4 linked regions of the Notamacropus eugenii genome follow. The protein of the gene in region 1 interacts with the protein of each later gene in a biochemical or structural test. Links are inferred from orthologs where the notes say so. Each region holds a gene or a part of one and is shown in the gene's direction. Other genes may lie near its edges. The genes, in order: GSK3B, MUC1, SREBF1 and NFE2L2.

The links.
Region 2: the proteins of GSK3B (region 1) and MUC1 form a complex in vitro, tested with the Homo sapiens proteins (2 studies listed by BioGRID). The link is inferred for Notamacropus eugenii from reciprocal best matches to the Homo sapiens genes GSK3B and MUC1.
Region 3: the proteins of GSK3B (region 1) and SREBF1 form a complex in vitro, tested with the Homo sapiens proteins (2 studies listed by BioGRID, with this or other methods). The link is inferred for Notamacropus eugenii from reciprocal best matches to the Homo sapiens genes GSK3B and SREBF1.
Region 4: of the proteins of GSK3B (region 1) and NFE2L2, one has a biochemical effect on the other in vitro, tested with the Homo sapiens proteins (2 studies listed by BioGRID). The link is inferred for Notamacropus eugenii from reciprocal best matches to the Homo sapiens genes GSK3B and NFE2L2.

What each region holds. Positions count from the first base shown.
Region 1 is NC_092876.1:345,958,097-345,966,459, forward strand, and holds the start of GSK3B (glycogen synthase kinase-3 beta), read left to right. Parts: upstream 1-4,977; 5' UTR 4,978-5,015; coding exon 5,016-5,103; intron 5,104-8,363. UniProt on the Homo sapiens protein: Constitutively active protein kinase that acts as a negative regulator in the hormonal control of glucose homeostasis, Wnt signaling and regulation of transcription factors and microtubules, by phosphorylating and inactivating glycogen synthase (GYS1 or GYS2), EIF2B, CTNNB1/beta-catenin, APC, AXIN1, DPYSL2/CRMP2, JUN, NFATC1/NFATC, MAPT/TAU and MACF1.
Region 2 is NC_092873.1:379,283,858-379,292,068, reverse strand, and holds the start of MUC1 (mucin-1), read left to right. Parts: upstream 1-4,872; 5' UTR 4,873-4,986; coding exon 4,987-5,041; intron 5,042-5,653; coding exon 5,654-6,873; intron 6,874-6,982; coding exon 6,983-7,038; intron 7,039-7,187; coding exon 7,188-7,324; intron 7,325-7,596; coding exon 7,597-7,715; intron 7,716-7,816; coding exon 7,817-7,966; intron 7,967-8,211. UniProt on the Homo sapiens protein: The alpha subunit has cell adhesive properties. Can act both as an adhesion and an anti-adhesion protein. May provide a protective layer on epithelial cells against bacterial and enzyme attack.
Region 3 is NC_092874.1:335,022,549-335,029,989, reverse strand, and holds the start of SREBF1 (sterol regulatory element-binding protein 1), read left to right. Parts: upstream 1-3,898; 5' UTR 3,899-4,223; coding exon 4,224-4,320; intron 4,321-7,441.
Region 4 is NC_092876.1:240,169,285-240,176,968, reverse strand, and holds the start of NFE2L2 (nuclear factor erythroid 2-related factor 2), read left to right. Parts: upstream 1-4,254; 5' UTR 4,255-4,499; coding exon 4,500-4,532; intron 4,533-4,682; exon of another isoform or gene 4,683-4,815; intron 4,816-5,238; exon of another isoform or gene 5,239-5,391; intron 5,392-7,684.

The sequences.
Region 1 (8,363 bases):
TCTCAGCTATAAATGTATGACTCTAATATGGAGTGCTACATTGAGGACAGGAATCAATCATGTCTGACTCTGTGACCCCACTTGGGGTTTTCTTGGCAAAGATACTGGACTGGTATAGGTATATTAATCAAAGTCACCTTCTATGGAGACATTGTAAGGATAATTATAGAGGTGCAAGTTTCCAGCCTTTGGATGGAATTATTTTAAGAGCTAGCTCTTTTTAGTGTTTACATACATATTTACCTTTGAAAGGCCCTGAACTGAACAACGAATAGGAGAAAGAGAACAGAGTTGTATTTGAGAAACTGAATTCCAAGTTGTTCCAATACAAAAAAAAAACCAAAACAAACCCTATCTTTTCAACGCCAATATTTCTCTAGCAATACTATTTGGCTGGAATTTTTTTTCTGAAGAATCAAAATTGTGGGTGATCCAGAGAGCAAATGATATATGCATGTGAGGTATAATCTAATACCTCCAGTGGGCTGTATACAAAAAAACATATTTTATACATAAAATATAAAACTCCCCCAAAAGTAGAATTGGATGAGGTGGGCAAGAGAGAGGTATGACAGAAAGCTCATGTGCTGTACTGATATCCAAAGGTTGTCACATGTCCTGTCACCTCTAGCACAATGAAAAGATTCTCACTGTGGGGTTTGCAAGTGGTCATGGATAAGAACTGCAGACCAGAAAGCACAGATGGGTTGCGATCTCCAAGGCTGGAAGCAGTACCCTTATTGTATTAAAGTATATTACTCAGTGCTAATCTTTGAGTGCCATGTCCCCAGAGAACACACCTGCTTATCAATTGCTATTTCCCTATAATACTTTGAGAGAACTATCCCTCTCCTCTCTCAAACTCTGGACAACTCTGACATACCCTTCATGCAATGTGCATTTAGGGGTGGTGGAGGACATTGATCTCTGACAATGAGGAGAGAGTCCCATACCAATGAACTTTGGGACTTGGATTATATACGCACATGAGAATTAAGTAAGGCACAGCGTATTTAAGATTTTTATAGTGTTCTCAATCCTCTCTTTGGCTTTTCTACATTTTTAATAGCATCACTTCCTAATCTCCACTTTTAGTGGGGAACAGAAAGGCCTTCCTAGAAACTCAGCCTAACATCTCCCGCTATTCCGTGTCTCTATTTGAGACCAACCACTGAATAACTTTGGAATCTCAGGTTCAACTATTTAGCACTTCCAATTCTGCTCATTAACTGCATAGCTGATCCTGCGCTTCTTCAATCCTCAATCGACAGGTTTGGCTGTTTAACATGGAACACAGTTTTATTTGTGTAAATTCTTCTATCAGAAATTCTGAAGACAGATTAAGCCCTTGTAACTATTACATACAACTTTGCCTACACTCTTTTTTTGAGGGAGTACATCAGGAGAAGAGAAATTTGGGTTACCAGACTCCTCGGAAATATGTTACAAATTCAAGTTCAGGTAACATTCAAACATCTATTATGGAGATAATCTGTATTTAATTTCTAACAAAATGTGTTAAATTTACACAGAAAAGTAGAACACGAGGTTTCAGGAAGAAAACTGAATTTGCAATCTGAGAACCTCTGTTCGGATCCCAGGCTCTTAGCCTGCTGTATACTGGACTTTTCTTACACGTTAAGGGGTAGGGGGCAGAATGGAGAGGGCGCTTGACGTTCTTTCCCCTAAAGGCCCCTTTGAGCTTTGAAGCCTATCATTTGTGGAAGTTACACTTTTGGGTTTCAGGAGGTGTGTCCTTCACATGCCTAGAGTTTCTCCGTCCTCACAAATCCTCAGTCCCGAAGAGCCTCTCAGAGATACGTGAGCCAAGCATCCAGCTCAGGTAAAAGCCCCCTTCTACCCATTACCGTCACTCCTTCTCCCCAACCCATCCCAGACTCCCCACTGACTTTTCCATCTACTTACACCCATTAAACCACACGCTCTCTAAGTGCACGTTTCCATACGCACTTACGAGGGCAGGGGCACTTCAGTTCTTGTATGAACTGCTTTTTATATCAGGATGATACAACCTGAGTTATAATACTAGGAATCTGAGCAGCTGCCTGTAACACAGACAATGGTCTCTCCGCCGGGGTTTCAGGTGCCCTCTAGGGGGAACCCAATTGTTGAATTTACAGATACGCAGACATGTATAAAACTGCACAGTTCCATCCACACCGATACATACACAGCAGCGTACCAGTCAGCTTAACACACAAACAAGCAGACGGTCGGAGCAGGCCAAAAGATGCTTGGAGTGGGAGAGAAAGTGCCCATTACGGCGCGAGGGGTTTGGTCCTCTTACAATCACAACATACCACACGCAAGAAACAAACCATCAAAAATAACCTGCCCTCACACACTACCCTTTGATCTGAAGCTCCCAAGCCAACTACAGCTATAATTATCCCGGCTGCACCCAGGGCCCAAGGATATCCGGCACGACTCCGGCCCCTTCACGTGTTTGGGAGCCACTCACGGAACTGCAGCTATTTGTGATCACCCTGGGAGCGCACCGAGCTGCGGTGATCTCATTTCTCCCGGGTGTTTTCCGGGGCAGAGACCCTGAGCCCGAGCACAGCGCCCACAAGAACCTAAGACTAAAGGGGCAGAGGAGGGCCGAAGCGTCCAGGACAGCTCCCCGCGCCGCGCAGGGCAAGGAGTTACGCTCCTCGGGCCGTAAGGGTGCTGCGAGGCCGAGCGCCGCCCCCAGCTGTGCGGCAGGAGAGGGCGGGGTCACCCGTGCCCAGGCACGAAGAACTTCTGGGCCTTCGGAGTTACAAGTACGGAACATGAATTTCTCACTCCCCCTCCCCCGCACGCACACGCACACGCACGCACGCGCCTGCGCAGGCAGGGATCCAGGATTTAGGCCCAGAGGCAACTGGGCCCCCAGGCTGTTGAGACCTATGCGCCACTGGTCCCAACCATTACGTCGCGAATGCGTGAGTCTGCTCCACCCCTCAATATCTGCGGCTTTCAAACAGCCAAGGCAGAATTCACCCAACCCCGATCGTCCACCCAGGGGAGGTTCCGCCACGACCACAATCTAGCTCATTCCCCTCTGCCCAAGCCAGGGGACCAATCAGACTCAGCCAAAGTCTTGCGATAGGCCCAAGGCAGGTTCGGATTGGCCAACCTCAAGGAGTTCAGCCTCCCTCCCCTTCCCCTCTCCCCTCTCCAGCGCACAGCGGCCGTTGTCCAATAAGAAAGAGCATTATAGGTCTTTGCCCTCCCTCCTTCCCACCCCGCCTCGGTGAGACATGGGACGATTCGGGCTTGCTGGGATGTCCTCGGAAGCCCCCTTCCCTCAGCCAATCACTGAGTGATGTGGTTCAACCTCCCAGCGGAGTTTTTCAACCAATGACAAAGCGGCCGAGGCGCAGGGTCGCACACCTTCCTGGGGCTTTTAACCACGCTGGGCCTCTCCGCACTTTTCAGCGAGAGCAGGCGACTGGGAAGCCTTTGATTGGCCCTTTCTGCCTTTGACGAATTTCAGCCATTGCCTGTGACCTAACCAGGAAGCTTGGCTTTCCAACTCCTTCCTCCTCCTTCTCCTCCTCTTCCTCCGTCGGCAGTCTTCGGCTCCTTCCGTTGCCTCGGGGCGTGGGGGGTTGGGAAGGGAGGGTTGTTCAGCGGCCGCTTCCGATTGGCTCCTGCCGCCCCTCGGCTATTTCCGGAGGGAGCAGCGAACAGACGACGCTCTCTGATTGGCTGAGGTTGGCGTTCGGCCGAAGCGGGAGGGCGGTGTGCGAGGCTCAGACTTCGGCCGGCGATTCCCAGACGCCTGTTACGCGGGCGGTGGGGGCTCTGGGTAGTGTTGGACTGGGCTGGGCTAGGGAGGAGGAAGGCGGAGGAGGCGGAGGAGGCGGAGGTGAGAGGGGGGAGGAGGAGGAGCAGGCGAGGGGAGGGGGAGCTAGGCGGCTGCGCAGTAGGTGCTTCTCATACAGAGCAGCCCCCGACCCTGGTGAATGCGGGCAGGAGCCGCTGCTGCCCGGACCGAGTGACAAAGGAAGGAAGGAAGGAAGGAAGCAAGGAGGAGCCGGGGGCCCCCCTAAGCCGCTGTCAGGGCGCCGGGCTGGGGCCAAAGCGCGGACATTTCCCGAGTGGGCAGCGAGCGGACCTAGGGGGCGGGAGGGCAGCGACGGTGCCTTGGCCGGGGGAGGGGGCCCTCAAGGGACGGAAGCGGTTGCCGGGTTCCCATGTCCCCGGCGTATGGGGAGCAGCACAGGAGCCGCTGCTTGGGGTCTGAAGGGAGCTGCCGCCGCCGCCATGGCCGCTGGATCCAGCCACCGCCTGCAGCTGCCCCTGGCGCAATGAGGAGAGGAGCTGCCGCCGCCGCCCCCCGCCGCCTCTGACCGACTCCCCAGATCCGCCGCCTTCGAGCTCTCCGGGCCGGGCCGTGCCGTGCCGCGCTCGGCCGCGCCGACCGAGCGCTCCCTCCGCCCGTCGGCCGGATCCCGCCGCCGGATCCGCAGCATTTCCAGTCGCATCACCGAGCCACCCTCCCTGCCTCCCTCCTTCCTTCCCCCTTCCCATCCCCCTTTCTCTTCAAGCAAGAGACTCGTGATCCCTCCGCCGCTTCCCTTCTTCATTGACTCAAAAAAAAAAGATCCCCGAGGAGGAAAAAAAATAATATTCAAAGTACTGAAATTCCAATCAAGTAATTTCTCCCCTCCTCTTCCCTCCCCCCTCCATTTTAACAGATATTTTTCAGGTTTTTCTCCCTTCCCCCTCCGAAGGTGAGGGGGGAGAAGAATTGTGTTTTTTTCCCCAGCCCCAAATCATCTAGATACAAAAATCCATATCTCATCTGTCTTGGAGGAGGATACAAATCGATCGTTTGGTTTTATATAGCTACGTAAAAGAAGTGAAAGCCAAGAAGAAGAAAACATTTTTTTTTTTTTTGGTTTGTGTGTGTGAGCTTAATGCTGCATTTGTCATTAACTTACACCCCAAAATAAAACAAAAGGAAGAAAAGGAGGAAGAAGGTGATCGGGAGAAGAGAGATCATGTCAGGGCGGCCCAGAACCACCTCCTTTGCAGAGAGCTGCAAACCAGTGCAGCAGCCTTCAGCTTTTGGCAGCATGAAAGTTAGCAGTGAGTATTGATTTTTTTTTTTTTTTACCCCTTTACCCCTTCCCTTTAAAATAAAGACCTGGAAATGCCAGGATTAAAAAAATATAGATTAGAAACCAAAAAAATTCAACGGCCTGTGTAATGGAAAAAGGTGAAAGTAGTCACTATTCAAAGGTGAAGCACCTCCCTGTCTGCTTCCATACCTTCCCCCCATCGTCTCATTAACCTTGAATTGACAGAATGTGATTTTTATTTGGATGTTTTAGTTTGCAAGTTTGTTTTTCCCCCCTATCTAGCATGACTTCGAATATATTTACGAATGGTCTTCCTAAGCAACTGCTTAAAGAATCTATAGGAAATTAGAGAGCTAAGTAATCAATCATCTTTTTAAGTAAGGAAAAACAGAAAAAGATATATTGCTTAAAACAAGGCAATATAAAAGTTGAAGCGTGGATGTCTTTTTTTGAATGAGAAGAGATGTTTAGGAAGCTCAGACCTAAGTATGGTTATCTTGGTTTTATGCTTTTAATAAAGACAAATATTTAACATTTATTTTTTGGATATGTAAAATAATAGCTGGTACTCGGAAGGGTCAGCTTGTGCCATGATGAGGTTTTAAATTTGGAGGTTATTCATTTCTGCCTTAAAAATAATGGGCTTGTGGCACCACACTATACAGCAGCAGTGCTGCATATGTTGTAAGTTGACTAATTGGTTTTAATATGTCATCCTATATCTTTTGGCTGTGACGTTAGAAATTTAATGAGGAGTTATTGAGATCTGTGTTTTAATTAAAAAGTTTCACGTTTCAGTTTGACTTTTGTGATTTAGAATTTTAATGTCAATTTCAGCATGCTAACAGTTACACTTCAGTTGTTGCCAATTAAAACTATCATTTTTATTCATTTGGAGGGGTACTGTTGTAAATGGCTTTATTAAAGTCCTAAATTAAAGTGTAATTTAAAGGACTATTTAAAATGTCTGTATTGTGATTTCTTTTTGTACCTGAAAAAAGCTTTAGCAATTTTATTTTATACATTTACAAATGTTGATGTCACTCTTGGATTGACAGATGCACCAGTTTACTCTGAATTAACTCATATTTTCAGAAACTGTATTTTTCTCTGAAATTTTTTTTTCAATTCATCTGGAGCTTTGAAAAGATCAGACAACTGAGTAAATAAGTCCTTTCTTTCATAGCTTCTGGAGTAGAGATGAATACGTTAAGAATGTACGCAATTTGTTGTCAAACTGTCTTTTTTAATCTATTTCTTTACACCAAAAATTAATAGTTTATTACTGTTATTGCCATATGTCCAACAATTTCAGTTCATCTTCATTTGTGCTTTTTGAAAATGTGTGAGCTTGGAACAGTGTTTATAATATTTAATGTTTAAAATGTTTTTTATCTTATTGAAATGCACTTCTAGAGTTTGACCAATTGTAATCTCTTTATTCCTGAAGTGAGATGCAGCAAGAGAGAGATGAAGTAAGGTTCCATAGAATTTCTTTTTTGTTCTTGAGTCAAAGACTTCCTGGTTAGAAAGAAAAGAAATCTCAATACAGGTTACTTTTCTGAAAAATTGGTTAAATTACTTATCTTTACCAAATGGTATTCAGCCCTTACACTGATATCAGTGTTCAGGGCTATACTGGACCATCTTGACTTTGAACTTCTATTTGATGTATGCCTGCATCAATGTTGATATTAAATAGTGAAGTTAAAGGTAGTGACTGGCAGTTTTTTTATTTTGGAAAGTATAATCAGGCTTTTGTTTTTTTGGTCTTTAGCCAACTAAAATTCTAGGGATGGGGAGAGAAGCAAACTATGCATTACTCTGTGGAAGGGCAAACCATCATAAGTACATTAAGGGTGAGATGAGATGAATATTTAAAATTCTGCTGTAATCTTCAGCTGTGATGAAGCAAGTCTTAAAATAGTGTAGGAATCTCTCCTGAGTTATTGGAATGTGTCTTTTTCATAATAGAAATCTGGAGTAATAGTTCTTTGAGACCCATTAACATTCATTAGTTACAGCTAAGAAAGCAAAGCAATTTTACCTGTCTTCAAACTTTTTTTGTTGGAAGAATTTATTTGCTTTTAAAGTGGCTATATTTGACGTATCTGATGAGAGCAGCATTGCTGAATGATGTGTTTAAATTTTGACTGGTAAATTAGTATTATTTTAATAAATAATATAGTATATTAAATTGAATCTGTAAACTCATCTTTTATGGGCATAGATTGCCATAATAAGTGGAAATTTAATGTCAAATATAATCATGCCTCTGACTTTGAATTTAGGGATATTTTTGAGGAAATAAGGATAATTTAACATTTAATCAGTATTTGCTATGGAGAGTCCTGCACAAATAGGGCTACTTGAGACCATTTTTCTGGGGAAACAAACATAAAATCATCTATTAAAATGGTGTGGGTGATATAATCAAATTGAATGCTTGGGTGCCAAGGGGACTTAACATTAAAGAATGATCAAAGGAAGAGTTAATCCGGGAAAACTGCTTGAAGAAGGTAAATTTCAAGTCAGAATTTGATGGAGGCAGAGTAGTAGATTGGGGTGAGCCATATGTAGCTGACTGTCAAATTACTTAATATCTAAAATAAGAGTAATAGTACTGATACTACTTCATAGGGTTGTTTCAAGGAAAAAAAGCTTTGTATAAATGAAATTACATAGAAATGTTTGCAGTTATTATTGCTGTATGGAAAGAAAGAATGTATTCTAGTTGGGAGAATTAGAGTGATTAAACCACAAAGGAAGGAGTTAGTATGTGACTTAGTAGGCATCAGAGACATTGGCTAAAAAGAGATGAAGGAGGAAAGCCACAGGGAAGGCAGTTGACAAATTCAAATTTATCTCTATTTTTTTTTGATAAGTAAAAGGTAGCTTCTGTGGATTTTATTGAATTGACATGTAGAATGGGGAACATGATGTTTGAAGAAGCTAAATATGACATTTATCTTTAGAATGGATTGGAGTAGAGTGAGACAGAGTTAGGGGGCTACTTGAAGTCAGCTGAAGTGAGAAGTTGGTTATGGTGGCTATAGAAATGGAAAGCAAAGAACAAAATGAAGAAACTGGCAAGCTGTCAGGATCCTGCATGAGAGTGTGTGTGTGTATGAGAGAGAGATGTTTGACGGTGAAAGTAACTGAGCATGAAAGACTTAGAAGTGATAACATTTATGATAGTGGGAAAGAAGTGCTGTCTGAAAGAAGCTGACAGGTTGAGTTTTTCTCCAGGTTTCAGTAGGTAGCTGT
Region 2 (8,211 bases), on another chromosome or scaffold:
CGACTCTGGAACGTCCTTTCTCTCATACGAGCATCCGGTTTGGCCAACCGAAGACCTCGGGAGGTGAGGTAAGAAGACTCGGGTAGCCCACAGGCCTCTAGGCCTGGCAATTTTGAGCTCAATATATACCAATATTGTGATGAAATAATTTAAAAAGCTAATGTGATTTGGGACCATGTTAAAAAGGGCATAATTTCCTGAAATAATAAAAAAGGGATAATACCACTGTATTTTGCCACATATATATGTACCTACTATGTGTCAGGCACTATGCTAAACACAGTTTTTCATTTGATCCTTACAAAAACCCTGAGAGGTAGGTGCTATTATGATCCCAATTTTAATGTGGAAGAATTTGAGGCAGAGGTTAAGTCACTCACCTAGGGTAACACAGTAAGTATCTGAAGTTAGATTTGAACTCAGATTTTCTTGACTGAAGAACAGTACTCCACAAACCAGTGGTCCTAACAAGAGAAGACTTGGGTGGGGGTGGGGGTGAGGTCAATGTGCAACTGATTTAAAATCCTTCCTCAATCCAGTTTTCTTTTTTTTCTATTTAAATTTTATTATGAACTAAAAAATGATCAGCATACATATTTCCATGCACAAAGGAGAACAGAAATCAGAGATTGTAAATGAAAAGTAATTTATTGTATATAGTTTGTTCCTTCTAATATACAGGGTGTCCCCCCCAGCTCAAAAGTGCACTAAGACTTTTGGAATACCTTGTATATTAAACGTAAGGTTGGAGTGCCAACATTACCCTGTTTCTCTATGTCCTCCTTTGAGTTGTCCTCTGGTCCCTCAGTGCATTTTTAAAAAAAAATTCCTTGAAGTTCTTTTCTTTCCTCTTTTTCCTGTGGGTACCCTGTGCATGCTCCCAGGACTGGGTCCTCATTAGCCTATCCCTCATGACAGCTGTAATGTTCCTATAGTGCTAGGCACTTTACAAATATTTCATTTAATCCTCACAAAAACACTGGGAGGTAGGTGCTGTTATTATCCCTATTTAATAGTTCAGAAAACTGAGACAGAGGTTAAGGGATGGCCATTTACTTACTAGGATCACATAGCTACTGTGTGTTTGAGGTGGAATTTGAACTCCACCCTTCCTGACTCCAGGCCTTGCATTCAATCCAGTGCACCACCCAGCAGTATTTCAAGTCTTTCAAAGTTATTTTCCTTTACAATGTTGTGGCCAGTGTATACATAGTTCTGTTGCTTCTGCTCACTTCATAGGATCATAGATTTAGACCTGGAAGAGGCCTTAAATATAGGTCCTCCAGTTCAATGCCCTCATTTTAACATATGAGGAAACCAAGGCACAAATAGGTTAAGTAACATGCTTACAGTCATATAGCTGGAAGTGTCTGAGATGGGATTTGAATTCAGATCTTGCTAACAACATGTCCAACAATTCATCCACGGTTCTGTATTGCTTTATTAGTTCATAAAAGTCTTTCTCTGGGTTTCCCTGAATCCATTCTGTCATTTCTTATAGCATAGTAATATTCTATTACATTCATATACCACAATTTGCTTAGCCACTCCCCAATTGATGGACAGTTTCTTTCCAGTTCTTGGCTGTAACAAAAAATATTGCTATAAATATTTTTGCATATATGATTCATTTCCTTTCTTTGATGTCTTTGGGATATTTTCCCAATAGTGGTATTGTGGGTCAAAGAGTATACAGTTTAGTGACTTGGGGGGTATAGTTCCAAGTTGTTTTCCAGAATGGTTGGACCTTTTGACAGCTCCATCAATTAGTATGTCTGCTTGCATTCCTGTAAACAGTCATTTTCCTCATTTACCATCTTTTTTGATCTGATGGGTGTGAAGTGAAATCTGAGTTGTTTTAATTTGCATTTTTCTTATGATTTCAATAATTTTTCCATATGATGGTCGATAGCTTTCATTTCTTTCCTTGAAAACTGCCTGTTTACATACTTTGGCCATTTACTTATTGGGATATATGTAAATATTTAAAGGACTGTCTTGTTCCAGAAAGATTAGACTTGTTAATTGTTGACACCAAGAGAAGAATTAGGAGTCATTCCAATGAAGGGAATGTGTAGAGGAGACAATTCAGGAGAGAGTTCAGGAGAATCTTCCTATCAGTTAGCACTGCCCCAAAGGGGAATGATAGATAGCTTCTTCCCCACCCCCTTCTCCCAGGACGTCTGTATGTGGAGGCTTGGACAGCTACTATTTGTATATGTTATAGAGAAGATTCCTTTAGAACTTTGGTTGGACTTACAGCTGCCAAGAACTTTTCCAGTTCTAAAATTCTGTGATTCTGTGATATGTCAATTTCTGGATAAGAATGGAAGCTCTCTGAGGTCAGGGGCAATCAGCTTTTGTCACTGTATCCCCAGCATCTAGCACAGAGATGCCTGACACGGAGTTGGTCCTTAATAATTGCTTGATGTTTGATTAAGTCTCATCATAACATGCTTGTAAGGAGAATAAGACAAGGGTAGAAGCATCATTCTGGTCCTGCTTCTGCTCCTTACCATCTGTGTGAACAATTCATTTTTCTGAGTCTCAGTTCCTCTAAAATGAAGGGTTTGACTAGATAATAATAGCACTTATCTAGTAGGGTTGTATTAAATGAGAAAAAATTTTTTTAAATGCTTGTCCCCAATTGATAAATGGTCAAAGGATATGAACAGGCAGTTTTCAGAGGAAGAAATTAAGGCTATCTATAGTCATATGAAAAAATGCTCTAAATCACTATTGATTAGAGAGATGCAAATCAAAACAACTCTGAGGTACCACATCACACCTATCAGATTGGTTAACATGAAAAAACAGAAAGATGATAAATGTTGGAGAAGATGTGACAGAGTGAGAACACTAATTCATTGTTGGTGGAGCCGTGAACTGATCCAGCCAATCTGGAGAGCAATTTGGAACTATGTCCAAAGGGCTACAGAAATGTACATACCCTTTGACTCAGCAATATTGCTACTAGGACTGTATCCCAAAGAGATCACAAAAATGGGAAAGGGTCCCACATGTACAAAAATATGTATAGCAGCTCTCTTTGTGGTGGCCAAGAAGTGGAAATCAAGGGGATGCCCATCAACTGGGGAATGGCTGAACAAGTTGTGGTACATGAATGCAATAGAATACTATTGTGCTATAAGAAATGATGAACAGGAAGACTTCAGGGAGGCCTGGAAGGAATCATATGAGCTGATGCTGAGTGAAAGGAGCAGAACCAGGAGAATATGGTACATGGTAACAATCACAGTGAGCCAGGAATTTTTCTGGTAGACTTAGCCCTTCACAGCAATGCAAGGACCTAAAACATTCCCAATGAACTCTTGAGGCAAAATGCCATCCATATCCAGAGAAATAACTATGGAATTGAAACACAAAATGAAGCAGAATATTTCCTCTTGTGTTGTGTTTTGTTTTGTTTGGGTTTTTCTCATGGTTTCTCCCATTCATTTCAATTCTTCCATGCAACATGACTAATGTGAAAATGTATTTAATAAGAATGTATGTGTAGAACCCATATAAGAATGCATGCTGTCTTGGGGAGGGAGGAGGTAGGAAGGGGGAGAAAATCTAAGACTTATGGAAGTGATTGTAGAAAACAAATAAATTAATTTAAAAAATGCTTGCACAATGCCTGGCATATTGTAGGTACTATAGAAATGCTCATTTCCTCCCCTTGCCTTCCCACTAGATAGCTTCTGAGATCTTTCCCTGCTCTAAATTCGGTGTCTTTTCCTTCTTCCTTTACAAGGGAAGAAGCCGAATGCTAAAATAATTCTAGCAATAGTTGACCCTAGTATCACAGTTTATAGGGTTTCCCTGCTAAACCCCCTTACATGCACATTATCTTACTGCTTTTCAAAACAAACCCACAAATTAGGTAACACGAGGATTGTTATGCCCTATTTTATAAAGTAGGAAATCGGCTCTCAAAGATGAAGCGACTTATTCAGGCTCATATAGTTGGGGACTAAGTACGGACCGACATTCGGGGCTCTCCAGCCCCCAAATTCAGAGTCGTTTTGTGTTCCTTGTTACTTCTCCCCTGCCAGGGGCTGCTCTGCCCCACTTCCCTCCTCAGGTGTTTCTCCCCCGAACCGTTCACCTCCCTCTCTAATTCTTGAAGGCTCCTGATGACCACCAGGGGGCAGAATGGTTCTGTTACCTGACAGGATGCGTGCGGAGTTGGAGAATTGGGGTGGAAGGACCCCAAAGATCTTACCCTCTTTTCTTCTTCTTACTTCCTCCTTCCTCCCACTCCTTTATCCCCCTCCCCCCCACCACGCACCCGTGAGAAAACGCGGAAGGCAACCAGGCATACAGAAAACCCCTGGGGCGGGGACTGTCGGGTTTCGGGCCAGATCTACGGGGCAGAACGGACCGGGAGGGGCTGGCATTGGGTGGGGTTGTTTCAGGAAATGGGGTAGCTGTTCTGATATTCAAGTTTCCTTTGTGCTGGGGCTGGGGTCGTGAGAGGGGTCCTACAGGAAGATGTGTCCCAGGAAGTCAGGGACTCCGGGGGCTAGAAGATGATGCGGCGTCCGCAGCCCTAGACCCTCGGGGGAGCCAGGGGTACTGATCTAACACCTCTCAACTCAGTCCATTTTCCCACCCCGGGCACCGCCCCGGGGTCCAGAAAGAAGGTCTGAAGTTCCAGGTGACCTGGCTCCCTTCCGTGTGAAGGGAGGGAGGGGAGATGGGGGTGACGCCAGGTGGAGAACAAACAGGTTGTCAAAGGGTTGAGTGATCTGGAGCCCGCTGTACCCGAGGGGTCAGGAATGTGTGTGGAGGAGAAGGAGGAGAAGTAGAAGGGAGGAGGGATGGAGGGGGGTGGGGTTGTGTCACCTGTCACCTGCTCTGGCTGTCGGAGCCTCGGGCGGAGGACTGGTATAAAGCAGCGGGCTCCTGAGCCCGACACAGCCTTTCGGGCAGAACCTGGCCCTGCCTGCTGAACGCTCCCCTCCGCTGGTTACCACCATGACCCCGGGCATCCAACCCACCCTGGTCCTTGTATTGTTCCTGGTACCTACAGGTGAGGGCAGGGGAAAAAGAGATGGGGAATGGGGTGGCTTGATTTATACCATTTTTAAAATAGCCTCTGGGCTAGTTTTTACTTCCGGCGGAGTTTGCTGAAGGGGGAGGGAATCCTGATGTGAGGGTGAGCTGAAGGGTTCAAAGCTGGGGCCAAAGTGGAGGAAGAAGAAGAGGAAGAAGGAGTTACAGAGACTGGGACTGAGAGGAGACCCTATTGAAAGGACAAAGCTTTGGGCAGTGAGGGATCCTGCTTGATTACCTAGAAGGTTTCCAGGGGGTGAAAGCAGAGGAAAGGTGAGGCAACTATGGAAGTGTGTGTGTGTGTGTGTGTGTGTGTGTGTGTGTGTGTGTGTGTGTGTGTGTGTGTGTGTGTGTGTGTGTGTGTGGTGGGGCAGGGAGCAGGGCAACAATGGAGGAAAACTAGAAGCAGAACATGGAGCCAACGATGAATTCAAGGAAGGTGGAGTGCCTAGTGTCTTTGGGTTTTCTCCAACCACCTACTTCCTAAAATTTCTTTCTTTCTACTTTCTGCCTAAATCTCTCTAGGTCTGTTGCTTCTCCCTGATCAGACTGGGCTCCAGCCTAACTCAGTGTCTCTGACTTCTTATAGCTATTGGCAACAGTACCTTTGGCACAACTACCAGCCCTGACCATGAGGCAGCTACAGCAACAACTCTGGACACAAACCGCAGCAACGGAACTACCGAGAAACACAGGACAACCATTACCCTCAGTGCCACAGCTTCATCTAGCTCACATGGACCCGTAACTGCTGTTGATGAACCTGAAATCAATGGCCACCACAGTACTGGGACCACAGCTCACACAGACAACAGCATATCTACCACATACGCACCTAGTGAGCATCCCACCTCCCCTACACCCCCCAGTAACCACAGCACATCCGCACCCACTGACCATCCCACCTCCACTACACCCCCCAGTAACCACAGCACATCCGCACCCACTGACCATCCCACCTCCACTACACCCCCCAGTAACCACAGCACATCCGCACCCACTGACCATCCCACCTCCACTACCCCCCCCAGTAACCACAGCACATCCGCACCCACTGACCATCCCACCTCCACTGCCCCCCCCAGTAACCACAGCACATCCGCACCCACTGACCATCCCACCTCCACTACACCCCCCACTAACCACAGCACATCCGCACCCACTGACCATCCCACCTCCACTGCCCCCCCCAGTAACCACAGCACATCCGCACCCACTGACCATCCCACCTCCACTGCCCCCCCCAGTAACCACAGCACATCCGCACCCACTGACCATCCCACCTCCACTACACCCCCCACTAACCACAGCACATCCGCACCCACTGACCATCCCACCTCCACTGCCCCCCCCAGTAACCACAGCACATCCGCACCCACTGACCATCCCACCTCCACTACACCCCCCACTAACCACAGCACATTCACACCCACTGACCATCACACCTCCTCTACACCCCCCACTAACCATAGCACATTCACACCCTCTGACCATCACACCTCCACTACACCCACTAGTCACCATAGCACTATAGCTACAAAAAGCACTCCCATCACTGCAGCAACTACTGATAACCCCAAGAATATTTCTTCAACCCTTCACCAAAAAGCCACTCCAACCCCTAACAATAACCACAGCTCCATATCACAACCCATTACTGTCAGCCAAAGCACCTCTCACCTCCCAGTTATCATTTATGAGAGTATGTTTTTCCTCTCATTCCACATCCTCCAAAAGCCTTTTAACTCTTCCCTGGAGAATCCCAGCTCTTTCTACTATCAAAGCTTGAAGGATTCTGTTAATGATCTGGTAGGTACCATCCTCTCCCTATAGGTTGGGAAGACTTCCCCTAACCCCCAGATGGCCATTTATTCCTCTGGCGTTCTGGCTATACTTCTTCCTTCCTCTCTTTTCCCAGTTGCGGCAGGTCTACGAAAACAAGGCATTTCTGACCTTTTACCTGCTCCAGTTCAGGTACCAATCTGCAGATATGGGTGGTATTGGGGGTGGGTAGGTCACCAGCTTAGATATGAGAAGGAGTACCGGTTCCAGGAGGAGGGAAAAGTGGTCTGAAACAGGAACTGGAATGTACAGGACTTAGGTGCCAATTTTCCTGTGCCCAGAATGGGCTCTGTGATTACAGACTGTATCGTGGTCTTCCAAGAGGGCAGCATCACAGCCAATGAAGTACAGACTCTGTTTGCTGAAAATGTGAATAAGAATATGTACAACCTGACTATTTCACCATCAGATATAACTGGTAAGGTTTCTATCCCCCCCCCCCCACTAGTGCCCCCCTCCCCCACCTCACTACCCAGGTACTCTCTGGGAACTTGGAACATTCCCCCAGATAGTCTGCCCCAGAGCCAGGAATTCATATTTCCAGGTTCTATTGCCCCACACTCATGGGTCTCCTTGGACCTAAGTACACAGGCACACACTCCCTTTTTGTGGGAGAAGAGCAGGGGTCTTAAAGAAGATTGGGACAAGGCATCTTGGGAGATTCTTTTACAATCCAACTCTCTTTTCTAGTCCGTGAGTGGAATTCTAAAGCCTCATCTACTGATTCTGCTGTGCCAGGCTATGCCATTGCTTTGCTTGTGATAGTCTGTATCCTGCTTGCTTTGGCAATTTTGCACCTTAGTGCCCTGGTAAGTGCTTTGTCCAGCCCAGATGTTTGGGTCCTCCCCCTGTCTTGGTTCCCTAACCATCAGCCACTGTGCCCTTCTGCCTTCATCTCCACCTCTTCCAGGTGATATCTTATTTCCGCCGGGAACATTGTGGACAACTGGACATCTTCCCATCCCAACATTCTTACCATCCCATGAATGAGTACCCCCCTTATCATACTCATGGACGATATGTGCCCCCAAGCAACACCAAGCACAGTCCCTATGAAGAGGTGAGGCTATGCCTAGTGGGCAGTGGGAAGGCAAGTGTGGCTGGGATCTAAGAAAGGATTAAAGGGACACGGGAAAATATTCAGTGTGGGAGTAGTCATGACAGAGCCCAGACATCATAGTGTACTGAGAGGATCTGAAGGGTTTCAAAGAGACACAGAGGAGAGGGCACTGTGAACACAGGAGCACAGACATTGTTGGATGTAAATAGAGAGCCAGAAGTGTAGTGCTAAGAAAAGGAGCCTGG
Region 3 (7,441 bases), on another chromosome or scaffold:
GTGACTTGTTCAGGGTCACACTGCTAGTAAGTATCCAGTGTCTGAGGTCAAATTTGAACTCAGGTCTTCCCGACTCCAGGGAAAGTGCTCTAACCACTGTACTACCTAGCTGCCCTTCATCATTTCTTATAGCACAATAGTATTCCATCACAAAGACAGCTACCTGGCAAAATGGATACAACCATGGACCTGGAATCAGGAAGACCTGAATTCAAATCTGACCTTATACACTTAATAGCTGGGTGACTGGGGGCAAGTTCATTTAATGTTGTTTGCCCCAGTTTCCTCAGCTGTAAAATAAGTTGGAAAAGGAAATGGCAAACCACTCTGGTATCTTTGTTAAGAAAACCCCATATAAGGTCATGGAGAGTTGGACAAAGATGAAAAGACTGAATAACCACAAATTCTATCACAATCATATACCACAACTTGTTCAGTCATTCCCCAACTGTGAATGACAGCTATTCTCAGGAATACAATGGTCCCAAACAATTCTGAAGGCCTTATGATGTAAAATACTACCTGCCTCCAGGTAAGGATGGTGTATGAATGCAGATAGAAACATACTTTTTTTGGCTTTCTTTGTTATTCTTGTTTTTTTGATCTGTGTATCTTTGTTTTGCAAGACTACACATTTATAATCTATATCAAATCACAATTTGAAACTCAAAATTAAAAAAAATGTTGAAAATTTTTACTTAGATATAATTGAGAAAAAAATAAATTTAAATTAAATTTAAAATTCAAATAATTTTTTAAAAAGATAAGCACAGGGACTGAAATGTGAATGTCAGTAGACCTAGCTTCTATACTGACTTCCTGAAACTTTCCATGCTTTGGTTCCCTTGTCAAATAAATGGAAATAATATTCAATATCTCTCGCAGAAGGTTGCAGTGAGGACAAGGGACATGTTGGATGAAGGTGCTTTGAAACAATAAATGTTACGTATTACTGTATAGGAATCTGTGAACCAGATGGGAGCTCGGGCTGCCATTGATATATACCTCCTTTCTTTGGCCCAACAGGGATGAAAAATGCAATGTGTACTTATAACTGCTTGTCAGATGAAAACCAGATTATGTATAATGCCTTTCAACTCCTTCAGATCTACCCTTTCCCCAGACTGGGAGTGACGTGAGAAGAGCCCACCCATTTCAAGCTTTTCAATTAAATCACTCAAGATTTTTTTCCTACAGGGTTGAAGCCATCCAGACAAATGCTTCAGGACTTTTGGCCCACTAACTATTGATTATTAGCCCCGCTCTGGGTCCTGAAAGAAGGGAGGCTAGAACTTGTTTACATTTACCACAATCCAAATATCAACTAAGTATTTACTAGGTGACTGTATTCAGTACATCCTAGACTGATAGAAATGAAATGGTGACAAAAATGAAATAAAAGATAAAATCTGTCCCTCAAGAAACTTGCCAATTAGTTAAGAAGACATGCCCAGTAAAATGATACCTTATTAATACTTGAAAAGATCTATGATTTCTTTTGCATGAAACACAGACTCCACTAAGCCAGAGGCAGATGTTGGAATCCCTCTACACCTTTCATTAGATTTTGTGAGGAAAGAAACCTTCACTTGGTGGCCAGTCTTCTGTTGTGGACCCTCTCCAGATTTAACTAGGCTGGTCTTCCGGAGGCAGGCACGCAGTCTTTGGATCCCCCATCAACAAGGCCTACTTTGATAGTAGCTTGTCTGTTCCTCTGTGGTACCTAGAACCCAGAATCACTGACACACCAGGATGAGGCATTAAAATGAGACTTTACTGTAAGAATAAAACAATAAAAAGGTGAAGATGAACACAAGTGCAAAGTTTTATCCAAATCTGATAAAAAATCAAATGTTAACCTGTATCATAGAAGGAACCAATGCCAATCATTAAACATTTATGCCATGTGCCAGGAATTGTGCTAATCTATGGGAATACAAAAAAGCAGTAAAAGATAATCTCTGACCTCAAAGAACTTGCAGAATAATGTGGGAGGCAATATACAAACAAATATCTACAAAACCAGCTTTATCCAGGATAAGCAGGAAATAATTAACAGAAAGAAGGCACTAGAATTAAAAGGCAGTGGAGAGGGCTTCCAGTAAAACATAGGATTTTAGTTGGGACGTAAAGAAAGTCAAGGAGGTTAGTAGGTGGAATGGAGGAGGGAGAGGGTTCTAGGGCCTGGGCATCAACTATAGACGCAGCTGAGATAAAGATTTCACCCACTCCTTATTTTTTTTCTTTTTCTGAGACTATGTCTCCCTATCTGTCACCTAGGCTTCTGACCTGCAGGGAACCCTGGCCCAACCTTCTGCTGGACCCTCTTTAGGCAGCCTGATGCCACCCACCCTTCCTCTGGATTTAACCATATATGTTAGACACATTTTCTAATAGGCCTTAGACTCTACAGCAGCTCAGAACTCCCAAACCCAACTGATCCTTCAGTCGCAGCCTTCCCAGTGGTAGAGGATAGAGGCATGAACCTCCAAACCTGATCAACTTAGTTTTACAGATTAAGCACCTGAGGCCTGGAGTGAAGTGACTTGCCTAAAGTCAGACTGGTAGCAATTCTATTTCAAGCCCAGGCTCTGGGACTCCAATTCCTCTAAGACCAGAACCTAGTCATCCACCCCACCTCTTCTCCTGGCCTCCCCATCTGTGGTCACTTCCCTCCCTGGGTCTCACTTTACTCATGGAGAGGTTGGATTAGAGCAGGTTTTTTTTTTTGGTTTTTTGGCATTCTTAAAATTACTGAGGACCCCAAAGAACTTTTGTTTATGTGATTTATATCTTTTGATAGTTGCTGTACCAGAAATTAAAACTGAGAAAATCTAAATGTTTATTAATTAAAATAACAGGCCTATTACATGTTAACACAAATCACATTTGTTTTATGAAAAATAACTATATTTTTGAAAACAAAAATATTCCGTGAGAAGACTGGCATTATTTTACATATTTTTGCATATCTCTTTAAATTCTGGTTTAAATAGAAGACAGCTGGATTCTGATCTCCGCCTTGGCATGAATGAAGCATGTTGGTTTGTTCTTCACATATGAAGAAAATCTGGCCTCACACAGATAAGTAGCTGGAAAAGGCAAGTACATTGTAATAGACAAATAACTATGATTATGAAAATGGCTTTGAACTGGGGACTCCCAGGTAACTGTCTTCAGACCACACTTTGATAACCACTGGATCAGACCCCAAGTTAAAAGTAGGAACTGGCAGTGAAGGTGGGGCAGGAATATGGACAGAGTCTTGATCTGCCAGTCTGGATGGCATCAGCTCGGTTCCTTTCAACCAGGCTCCAGGTGACCTGCTCCACCTGGATTGGTATGGGGAAAGCTGGCTGATCTGGTCCCTGATTCAAAAGAGAATTTTTACGTCTGAGGACAGGCTAAGCGTCCAGGGAAGCTGCAAATACAGGGCGGTCACAGTCAGCCTGGCATCTCCATAAATTCGGGGACCGAGGGGTCTGTGCGCCAGGGCTTCCCTGAGGGGGAGGGTGCCAACCAGGCGAGCTGTCCCCCCGCGTCGGGGGCCCCCTCAAATCCTCCAGCAGACTTCGGCCTCGAACCCTGCGGAGTGGCTCCGCACTTGGCAGAGCTAGGTGCGCCCTATACCTGGTCGCTGCCCAGAGAGCCCCTCACCCCACGCTCCCCCCAGGTCCAGCCTCCCGGCTCCACGTGGTCCCCAGCAGCGGACTGGCGCTGCCCAGGCCTTAGGTAGCCCCGTTCCTCGGCTCCTTCCTCCGCTTCGGAGCGTCCCTAGAGGCTCCGAGTTCGGGATGGGGCTGTCACTCAAAAACTGAAGGGCGGGGGGGGGGGGGGGGGGGGGGGGGGCAGGATGGGGTGGGGTGGAAACACCCGGCGCCGATGCCCCGCCCCGCGCCCTCTCCCTCCCCTCCCCCTCCACGGGGCAGTTAAGCTACCAACTTTTAGCGGGTATGGCGCCGGGGGCGGGCGGGTGGCGACCCTGGCACTAACTTTGTTTCAGGAACTGGGCGAGGCCACCAGCCGCCGGCGGGCCTGGGCAGAGTTCGGGGCGTGCACGGTTAGTCCTCCGGAAAGCGCGCGGTCCATGGAGCAGAGCTAAGGGGAGGCTCAGGCAAAGGCGCGGTGCGTGGAGAGGAACGCCACCAGCCCGGAGGAGGCGTCTGGGGCCGGCGGGCGGGACGCGGCGGCGGCGGAGCTCCGGGCTCCCTCCGGCCGCCACCATGAACGACCTGTCCTTCGACGAGGCGGCCTTGGATCCCTCCCTGGCCCTGGGCGAGGCCAGCGACATCGACTCGGCTCTGCTCAGTGACATCGAAGGTGGGTCCCGGGGAGGGGCGCGTGGGAGCCCGGCCGGGAGGGTGGGGGGGGCGGTGATCGGGGCAGCCCTCCGGGATCCTCAGCCTGGCTGGGCTGGCCCCGGGCGTCGAGGGGGAGTGTGTATGCGTGCTTCCGCGCGTGTCTGCGGCTCGGGATTCCGCGTGTGGCTGTGGCGTGTGTCTGAATGTGTTCGTGCCTGTCCGCGGGCACCGAGTCCCAGGATGCGCGCACAGTTGGGGACTCGCCGTCTGGAGGCACCCGGGGAGACCCAGACCCTCCCCCCTCCCCGCCGCGGACCCCTTCCCCAGCAGCTGTCCGGCCCGGGGGGACTCGGTCCTCCCCCTAGAAGCGGCCACGCCTCTTCGGGCCGCGGAGGAGCGAGGGGCTCCCAAATGGTGCGGCCCCCAAGCCCCGCCCCCCCGAGGGCCCAGGAGCTCGTGACGTCAGCGTCAGCCAGAGAGGTTACCCCCGGTCATTCCCTCGGCCCGCCAGAGTTCACTGAGCTCTGCTGGAGCCTGCAGTGGGAGGGGAGGTGGGGGGGAAGGGGGAAGCGGGGGGAGAGGAGGGGGAGAAGGGAGCAGGAGACGGCCCTGCCCTCCGGCGCCCAACAACTCTGCCCTTAGGAAACCACCCAGAAAATATCCCAGAATCTAGCCTGGGGTTTTCTTAGCAAAAGCTAACCCGGGTGCTCTGACCCATCCACGTGGAGCTTCTGATAAGCCTGTGACTGGGAGAAGGAATTGGCCTTGAATTATCCGTTCATGCAGCCCTTTTAAGCTTTGTAAAGCACATTACTTAAACCTTCTTGTTTAAGTGTGTACAACCTGTAGTCGGTTGGTACTACAGGTATTGTGCTAATGGAGAAACTGAGGCCAGTGAGTCACGGTAGTGAGTGTAACAAGTGCGATTCTCAAACTCAGTTCTCCTAACTCCAAGTGCAGGGCTCTTTCTTACTCTGTATCAAAATGCTTGTTTTACAAGGTAGACCGCCTTCTGTGGGCAGTAGGAAATCCATCTTTCTATCAGTCCCTTTTATAGAGAAATCTTGCTCTGAAGGGGGGATATTTACCCCTAGAATCTTTCCTGACAGAAAACTGTACTTTTTCCTTCTCAGGGCCAGAATTATTTTTCATAAATTGAGGGATTGAGGCACTGATTAGTGAAGTAGGAATGGGGTAGATTAGAGTATATTAGTGAGAGATCGCTTTCTTTTCCAGAAGATTCATTCATTCAACAATAAACTTTTTATGTAAGGTCTACTGTTAGATAATAGTGTGTACAGAGCATTCTGCTGATGGGAGTGGGGGCTGCAGGGAAGGGACAGAGAGAGACAGAAAGTTTAGATGAACATTGATAGCTAGCTGCTAGGTCTGGAGTCAGGAGGACCTGAGTTCAAATGTGAACTCAGACAGTTATTAGCTGTGCGATGCTGGGTAACCCTATTTGCCTCAGTTTCTGCAATCTGTAAAGTGGAGCTGGAGAAGGAAATGGCAAACTACTCCAGGATCTTTGCCAAGAAAAGCAATGGGATCATGAATGGTAGGACACACCTGAACTGCAAGGATAGCTAGCAGTTATATGGGCTTTAAGATTTGCAAACCTGTTTACAAATATCACCTCATTTTATCCCCACTATAATCCAGGGAGATAGGTACTATTATCATCATTTTACAAATGAGGAGACTGAGGCAAAAAGGTTTAGTGGCTTGCCCAAGGTTACCTAGATGATAAGTAAGAGACCTTTCTTGACATTGCATGGATCCCAGTGGAACAAAAAGGCTTCCCATTGATTATTCAAATAATAATATCCAATCTTACAATCTAAATAACTTTTCCTGTTCCAGTGTATACTCTGCATAGCTGCCAAATGGATATTCCCAAAACCTAGGTCTGACCATGTCACTGCTGTACTCCTGTAGAGCACCTTATCACCTCCAAGATTAAATAAAAACGTCATGTAAAGGTCTTTTCAATTTGGTACCTTCCTGCCTTTCCAGCATTCTTCACATTACTCCCCTCCACAAACTGTATTTTCCAGCTTCCTCACACATGACACTGTATCCACCACCCGGTGCCTGGAAAGCCCTCCCTCCTCCCCTTCAGTTCTTAGCATTACTGTCTTCCATTAGGTCTTGGCTCAGATCATGTCATCTCAGCCTCTAGAGCTGTTCCCTCTAATCCCTCATGGACTCTATGTAGCATGTCTTTCCACATTTATGTATGTATCATTACCCTCGTTCAAATGTAACCTCCTTAAGGACAAAGACTGTTTTTGCCTTCTCTTTGTATCTCTGGATAATATTTGTAAAGCACTTAACCACAGTGCCTGGCACATTGTAACAGGTAAATACAATCTTGTGTATTGCTGGACTGATTGATGAGGGTGAAAGAAAAGTGTAGATGAAGTACTATTAGACCTCAAAGTACAGTCAAGGTGTCACTTTCATTTGGGCATGAAGAGTTGAGTTGAACTTTAAAGAAAGAGAGGAATTAAGTGGACAGTTTGGGGTTGGAAAAAAACTCCCACCCATGCATGGAGACTACCTTGAACAAAGGAGATTGAGGTCAAGGAGGAAGGAAATCAGCATTTATTAAGTGCCCATTAACTAATTAATTAATGTGCCTAGCATTGTGCTAAGTACTTTACAAATAGCATCTGCATATAACGTAATGTATATAATATATGTTTGCATATGATATAAATAATGCTCATTTAATGCTCACTACCATCCTGGGGAGTTAGATGAGGAAGCTGGAGGCAGGTAGAGTGACTTGCCCAGGGTCACACAGCTAGTGTCTGAGGCTGGATTTGAATTTAGGAAGATGAATCTAACTGATTCCCAGCCCTGTGCTCTATCCATTGCATCCCCTAGGTGCCCTAAGAATATGATAGCACTGGTGATAGTTTGGAGAGGGGATCAACTGAAAACAGGAGTAATTGAGAGGCTGTTGCAATAATCTAGGTAAGAAGAGGTGACCACTTGGCCTGCGGTGGGTGACTGTGATATTGGAGAGGTGGAGCCAGATGGCGAGAGAAGTTTCTAGAAGGCAAAATGGATCAGACTTGTCACCTGATCTTAGGGATCTGAGCCATCAACTGGCCAACCCCCATATTTTACGA
Region 4 (7,684 bases), about 110 Mb from region 1:
CTAGCCTTGGTTTCTTCATCTATAAAGATTAAGGGTTTATCATTTCTAAGGTCTATCTATAAATCCTATGCCCCATGCTTTCTTGTTTCTGGGGGGGGGGGGGGGGGGGAGTTTGGCCCAATTTTATTTTTTTTGTAATGTTTGAGATAGCCTCACCTTGATCTACTCTGTTGAAATCTTTCCAGTTTTCCAAGGTCTGGGTCAGATAACATCCTTTCCATGAAGCCTTCCCCTTTCCTGCCAGGAGAAGTCATCTTCCCCTCTTCTGCATCGTCATAATATCAGCTCTGTCATTCCTTTCTTATGATCACTTTCTACTTTGCATTACAGTCACTTGCATATTGGACCAAAATCAGTGCTGACCAAGAGCCAGCTGGTATCAGCATCGAAAGCCAACTGTTAAATTTTCAGTGTGAACATTTACACCCTGGAAATTGGCAAACACTGCAAATCAGAGCTTGTGTTTTATTGATTTTCGAGACGTAAAGTGATGGAGAAAATATTAATAATATAGATTAAACATAAAGTGTGTTCTGTGTGTATTTTTTCAGAGTCGCTTGTTAAACATTTACCAGCACACCTACGAAAAATTCTTTCCAAGTAGTAACTTGTAAGCCCCCAGTGATGTTTTACTTTTTATCAGTCAGCCATCGTTAACAATTAATAACAAAGGTATTTTAATGACAGTATAAATAAATTTAGTTAAATGACAGTGAGATTTTTATATCTGATCCTGGAGGTAATAGGGAATTTATTAAGGGGGGAGATGGGGGGAAACATGGTCAGACCTGTCCTTTAGGAAGATCATTTGGTAGCTGGGATTTAAAGGAAGTCAGAGAAGCCAGGAGGAGAGATGAGGAAGGAAGGCAATCCAGACATGGGGGAAAATGCTCTGAGTTGGGAGATGGAGAATCATGTTTAAGAAATAGCAAAGAGGCCAGTGTCATTGAATCATAAAGTGTAAAAAAATTAGAAAGGTGGGAGGGGCAGGTTATGACAGGCTTGGAATGATAAAGCATTTTATATTTGATTATGAAGGGTTAACTCATGAACCTCACAATGAAGAGCTGCTATCTCCTACTGATATTACTTTACTTCCTCAAAAGGCATGTTTTTCTGATCTAGGTAATGTCAACTGATTATTTTCAGATTCACCTAATAATAATAATAATATATATACATATATATGTGTGTGTATATGTATGTGTACACATACATACATACATGTTGCTTTATGGTTTACAAGGTACTTAATATGTTATTTTATTTGATCCTCACAATAACCTAGAAGTTAGGTTCTATTATTATCACCATTTTACAGATGAGGAAACTGAGGTAGAGGCATCTCAGGCTGGATTTGAACTCAAGTTGTCCCACCCCCAAGTCTAGCACTCTGTCTACTGTGTACCATCTAGCTGTGTACTATCTATTCTGTACAACATCTTCTACGGATACTGTTACAGTTCTTTCACCAACTCTTTTAGTCACCTCTGCCATGGAAGGGTACTATGATTAGTTAGAATTATACTCTCTCCTGAAAAAGATATTCCCTAGCTCCTTCAATCTGATCTATCAGCCTCCTACTCTTTCAGCTTCCTCCTGTGCATAAGTTAGAGGCAGCTGAGCCTGGAGTCAAAAAGTCCTGAGTTCAAATTCAATCTCTGGTGCTCATTAGTTATATGAACTTGAGCAAGTCACTTAATCTCAGTTTCCTCAACTGTAAAATAGGGTTTTGTCATGAAGATCAATGAGACCATTTTTGTAAAGTGATTAGTACAATGCCTGGCAGTAGTAGGTGCTATATAAGTACTATTTTATTTATTATCATTTCTAGCTATAATCTTCAGATTAAGTGCTATCTTCAGAGCCACCTACTCAATTTGGTTCTTCATTTACTGAAGGTGTTGGGATTAGCAATATTCTCCTTAGCAAGAAGGGCTCATTCTTCTTAGTTAACCTTGTTTGCCAATAGCTATGAAGTTTTTTTGTTTGTTTTTGTTTTCAGCTAGGATCCTCAATTAGTTAGGATACTTTCTTCTTTTTACTCAGACTGCCACAGAAGGGACAAGGGGTCAGACAGAAGCTTGCCTTCAAACTCTTTTAAGCAATTCCTTTATTCTCTGCACTTTACCTACTCTCTTCTGGCTTTCCTGGAAATCTAAATTCAATTGTTACCTAACATGGTCAGAAACCCATTTCAGTACTAAGGTTGTAAGACCAAGGTAAATCTCCCCAGGGGGAAACACTTTGATGAGGATCAGATCATTTTACCCAATCAGCTCTTCTGTTTTATGTAAAGTAGAAATGGCTGAATTGGCTAGTGAAATCTAAAAGACCGTTGACTCTAGTCTTTTCCTACAGAAAAACATTGTAGCCTGACCTCTTTCTCTGGCTGTTTTATACTTGCATGAAGACTTTTTTCTCTCCCTTGCTAGATGATAGGATTTTATTTTTATCTACCACAGTACCTAGAACAGAAACTCTTAGGGTCATAAAATCTTATATCTAGTTCGTTGGCTACTAGCACTTTTTAGTGTGTATAAACTCCTTTTCAATATTAAAAAAAAAAAGTTTCCTGGACCTATGGGTTATTGTTGTACTATTTAGTAACCAATGATTGAAAAATTACATAACAAAAAGTTATTATGAGTTCAGTAATGCTTTTAAGTGAACTTGTGTTTTATTCATCTGAATACTTCTGAAAAATAAGAATCTAAATGAGACATTATTCAGTCTACAAAAACTATGCTTATTATAGAGGAATCATTTAATGAGATAGACCCTTTAAAATAATAGCATCCCACAGGTTGGGAACTACTATATCTCGTCCATCTTTTACACCTTAAACGTTTGTCATACATAAATAAAGCTAGGGATTCTTCATCTGTATGTTACCTAATTTCTAACAATCTTTAAAATAAAAGCTAGAAACCAAAAGCTGAACCTATCAAAGAGATAGAAAGGTTCTTAGATCCAGAGACAATGCTAGGTCACTTAAATTCTCTGGGTCTCAGCTTTCTCATATGGGAAAGATCTAGTTCTTAAAGCCTCTGGGACTCACCTGTTGACAGTGATGCACGCACAAATTCTCTTTTAAAAATCTCCAATACTTTTGAATAACATATTCCAGGGCTTCACATTCCCTTTTCTCCTCTGAGGCTTTTGCCACTTTCGAAGTTAATTTTATTTTTAAGGATTATGCAACAGCTCAGTGCTGCAAGATGAGACATGGGGGGAAAGAGAAGGAGATGGTTTCAGTTTTTGCAAAGCCCAAGCTGAACAGTCAGCTTCCATCTCAAGAGGACTTTTCTAATCGACCTTGGAGCGCTGTCCCTGGCAATGTTTCTAAAGAGCGAAAGTAAACAGGAGGGCATTTGGGCCTTGGCAAACACAGGAGAGGGGACCTAACTCCAAAGTCCCAGAGTGGTTCCAGAACTTCCTACTGATTACACTTTCACTGAATTAACAAGAGTTCCCTGGGAGCAGAGGGTGGGAAAGTGAGGGAAAGGTGGTGCTGACTAGCAGGCAGCTTTTGTCCTGGTGCTCCTTGGCTGGCACCTGACCCTCAAGTAGGTGCGGTAGGTAGAGATAAAACTGAGCTGTGCCCTTCAACCTGGACCTCGGAGCCAGCCTCCCTTAGGCCACCGCGTACTCTTTGCCAGGTCGGTGAGACAGCATCCACTATGTTTCCGAGTGGCAATCTCGTTGGGAGGTAAGGGGAAAAATGGTTTCTTTGGTTTGTTTTAAAGGACACACGTACACTACACTGCTCTAAATTATACGCCCGGAGAAACGGTTTTGTCTTAAAAGGCGCACAAGCACAAAACATACGCACAGGGGGAGTCCACCGTCTCTTGGAGTTGGGACACCCGGGTCCAACTCCTGGTTTTGGAAGTTCCAATCCTTCCTCTTACTACCCTGGGTGACCTTGAGCAAATCACTTAAATTTCCCTGGGCCTCAGTTTCCTCATGACCAAAATGATGAGTCTGGACGAGATGAACTCCAGGCTGCCTTCCAACTCAAAAATCTACGGTTATTACGGTAAGGCCTGTGTTTTGGGGAGGGGTCTCTCCCCGCCCTCCGCCCCCGACGGGGATGGAGAGAGTTAAACACAAAGATTCTCAATACCTCCTTCCCTTCCTCCCCTCCCCCCCAGTGCTCCCACGCCAGCCCCCACCCCATTCCAAACCCGCAGGAAGTCAGCAGCCGCAAGGGTGGGGGATTTTAAGAGGAGGAGCCGGGAGGAAGCGGCCGGCCTCGGTGGGCGTGGCCACGCATTTCTCCGCCCCCAGGGTGGTCGGAGGCGGGGCGTTGCCGGGGCTGTGCCGGGGAGTCCCGGCCCTCGGGTGGAATACAGTGAAGTGCCAGGGAGACTCAAGGAGCCGCTTCCGCGCCACCCCGTCCCTGCCGCTGCGCCTTCCTTCTCCGCACCTTGTCTCGGGAGCTGAGAGAAAGAAGTCCGGCCGGGGAGCCCCAGCGCAGGGGTCGGAAGCTCAACATGATGGACTTGGAGCTGCCCCCGTCGCAACAGGTGCTACTGCCGGCACCTCCGGGACTGGCGAAGGGGGGGAGACGTCACGCACACGAGAGCGGGGCTGGGGGGGAGCGGACGTCACGCCTCCGGGAGCAAGGGGGGGACACGCCTACGGTAACAGGGACGGGGGCGACGTGGGCGACGTGGGCCGACCTCCTTCCCTCTGTCTTCTCTGTACAGTCCACCGGCGAGAGGGGACGGCGGGGAAGGCCGGGGTCGCGGAGGAGTCTAGGATTAAAGGAAAAATAACACCCGACCCCCTCCTCGGGAGAGAATAGAGGTGGGGGAGGAGTTGAGGATGGCGCCCTAGGGGGATCCAGAGGGGAAGTCCCCAGGAAGCCGTGGATGCAGGGCAGGGGAGGGGGGCAGCTTCCCCCCGGCTCTGCCTGTCACGAGCGCGTCGGCGGCCCCGGTGCGCTGGGTCTCCTTTCCTGAGGGAGGAGGAAGAGGAGGTGCGGAGGGGGTGGGGATTCCCAACTCCGGAGGGGAGGGGGACGTGGGTGGGGGGTGCAACAGCTGTTCCCGCCCCCGCTGTCTTCCGGGAGCCCCTCCTCCCCAGGTCGCCGCACTGCGGCTGCGCGGCGATGGGTGAGTTGAGGAGGTGTCTCTGGTCTCTTCCTTGGGCACTGTGGGAGGGGGTGGGGCGAAGCCTGCGCCGCCCCGCCCCTGCACCGCCCCCGCCCCTGCGCCGCCCCGTCCTTGCCCCCCTCCCCGGGGTCTGGTTGTCAGGGGAGGAGAAGCTTCCTAAGCGCCCTCGGGGCCTGCTCTAGCTTCTTTCGTCTCTTCGCACTTCCATTCCTGAGCTGCTCTCTCTGGCCTTGAAGCCTGCGTGCTTAGTCGCCAGGGGGAGGATGAGGTATGGACTGGCCCCCGGACCCTCGAGTGAGCGAGGAGCGCGGGGCGCACGTCTGGCTTGGAAGTCTGGGCTTCCATAGAGATCGATCATCTCTAGCCCTCCCCCGCCCCCACCTCTCCAGTTACTGCATCTCCGAGCCGGGGAAGGGAAAGGCTAGGCTTGTTCCTCATCACGCTTACCCTCCACTAGGGATTTCTAGGGTACTGAGAAAAACCAGTCTTTAAAGGACTCCAGTTAGCTTTGTGCTTCTGCAGTGACCTAGATGGCCCCGACGGACTGAATGAAGCCGTCCAAAAGCTCATAGTGTATCTACCCCTGACGGTGGTCCCCGGGCGGACCGTGGCGGAAGATAGCCAGGCCTGGACCCTGCATCTGATGAAGGCCGCTTGTCGTCCGGGAGAGAATGGGGAATTGGGAGTTCAGTTTGTCTTGCCTCCCCCCCTTTTCCTCTCCTACAGAACTCGGGAGTTTTGGAAACGTTCCGTACAACATACAGCACCCCCTCCCCGCTGCGGTAGTCCCGAGTGCGCGCTTCTCCGCGGCCTCCGAACGCGTCCCTGCGGCCTCGGCGGGGGTCAGCTGCCGCCAGTCGCGGCCGCCCTAGAGGGGCCCCTTGTGCTGCCTAGCGTGCCAGCCCGGCCGAGCTCGAGGAGCTCAAGGCCAGGGCGAGTCGGAGCTGGGGAGCTGTTGCGCAATTGTTATTTTCCCCTGGGCTGCTTTGTCTTTGGATGAAGTTTCTCAGATTGTAATTCTAAAATATGTAAAGCAGAATACGCTAAATGTTGTTCTGAGTAGGGCTGCCAGGGCAGATCAGGGTTTGTATTTTTGTGTAAAATGAGGTCTGTGCTTACACATTAAAACTTCGACTCCAAACTACTGCCTAGTTGGCTTTACCTTGAGTCTCTTTTCCCGCCGCCCTTCTCCCGGTCCCCTTCCTGTTAGAGAATTTTTCTTTCTTTTCGTTCTGCCTTTTTTGTAAGGATAGATGACGGGATACTTGTGTTGCACGGTGATCCTTTTGCTAGCAAGTTCTGTAGTCCGAGTTGGAAGAATTTGGAAGTAAGGTCCTTTATCATTTCAAATCATAGCATATTTTAAAAGTGTGACAGACAAGTGAAAAGATTACTTAGGATTTCTCGGCTTTTGTTTGAAGTTTTAAGAAAGATTATTGTTTCAAGGACATTTTTAATTTGAACTTGACCCTCTCAAGGTATTGAATGCTTTCCTCTTTGAAAGCAGTTATCTAATCTTGGCACGACTAAAGAGTTCCCTTTTCACCTTCTCTTTGGATATACATTCAGGACATTATAGGTCCCTATGCAGTTGTATAGTCTTGGACTGCTCCCGAAGAATGATTTTGGTTTTGTGCCCTAATAGCTTACTATTATAAAGATAGCTGTTTTGTTGGATTCAGTTATGACCAGAACTGAGGCTGTGTAGATGCTTCCTTGAACATATACAAAATACTATTGATTCATTTTTGGAAATGGAAAATGTTTTGGAGGATAGCGTTCAAATGTGCCCTAAAATTTCGTGCTTGAGGAAACAAAAGGAAACATGGAGAATGGACTTACAACAAAATGGCAAAATTTTATCACTGAAACATCAGTTTGAAGTCAGTAGAAAAATAAAATGAGGCTTCAGAGCTGATAGCAAAAAAAAAAATTGAATAAAGATATTGAAGTTTTTGTAATATACTTGCTAGGTATCACCAAAGGAATAAGGTTCTTGACCTTGTGGAGACTCTTTATTTTAAATGTGTAATTTATTAAGATCAAGTGAGATAATATTTGTAAAAAGTGTTCAGCACTTACAGTCTGGTACATACGTGTGTATAAAAAAGCACAATAAAAATGCTTATTCCTTTCCCTATTCCACTTACCCTATTGTACCAGAAAATATGCTGTCACCCTCTTTACATAGAAGAAGATATCTAGGAAGAGATCGTTAAGTATATAACTTGAATTCCCCACACCCATCATAAAAACTTTACATTTATTCTCTTGTACATTGTGCTGCAGATGAAAGACGCAGTTACTTTTTTCACTGCAGTGATAAGTGTCAAGTTCAAAAAGAAAAGTGAGAAGGAAAAGTCAGTAGTCTCTCTTGATATAGAGAGCAACTTGACATTTTTGTTTTATGAAACATCTTGAGATATTTTGAAAACACTTTGTAGGAGGACTCATTCAACTCCTCTCAGTCACAACAAAAAAAGTCATGCCTGGTGCACTTAAATTTTCCTAGACAATAAGGACAAGGTTTCATTCTTTGTGAATAACAAAAAGTTAAAGAG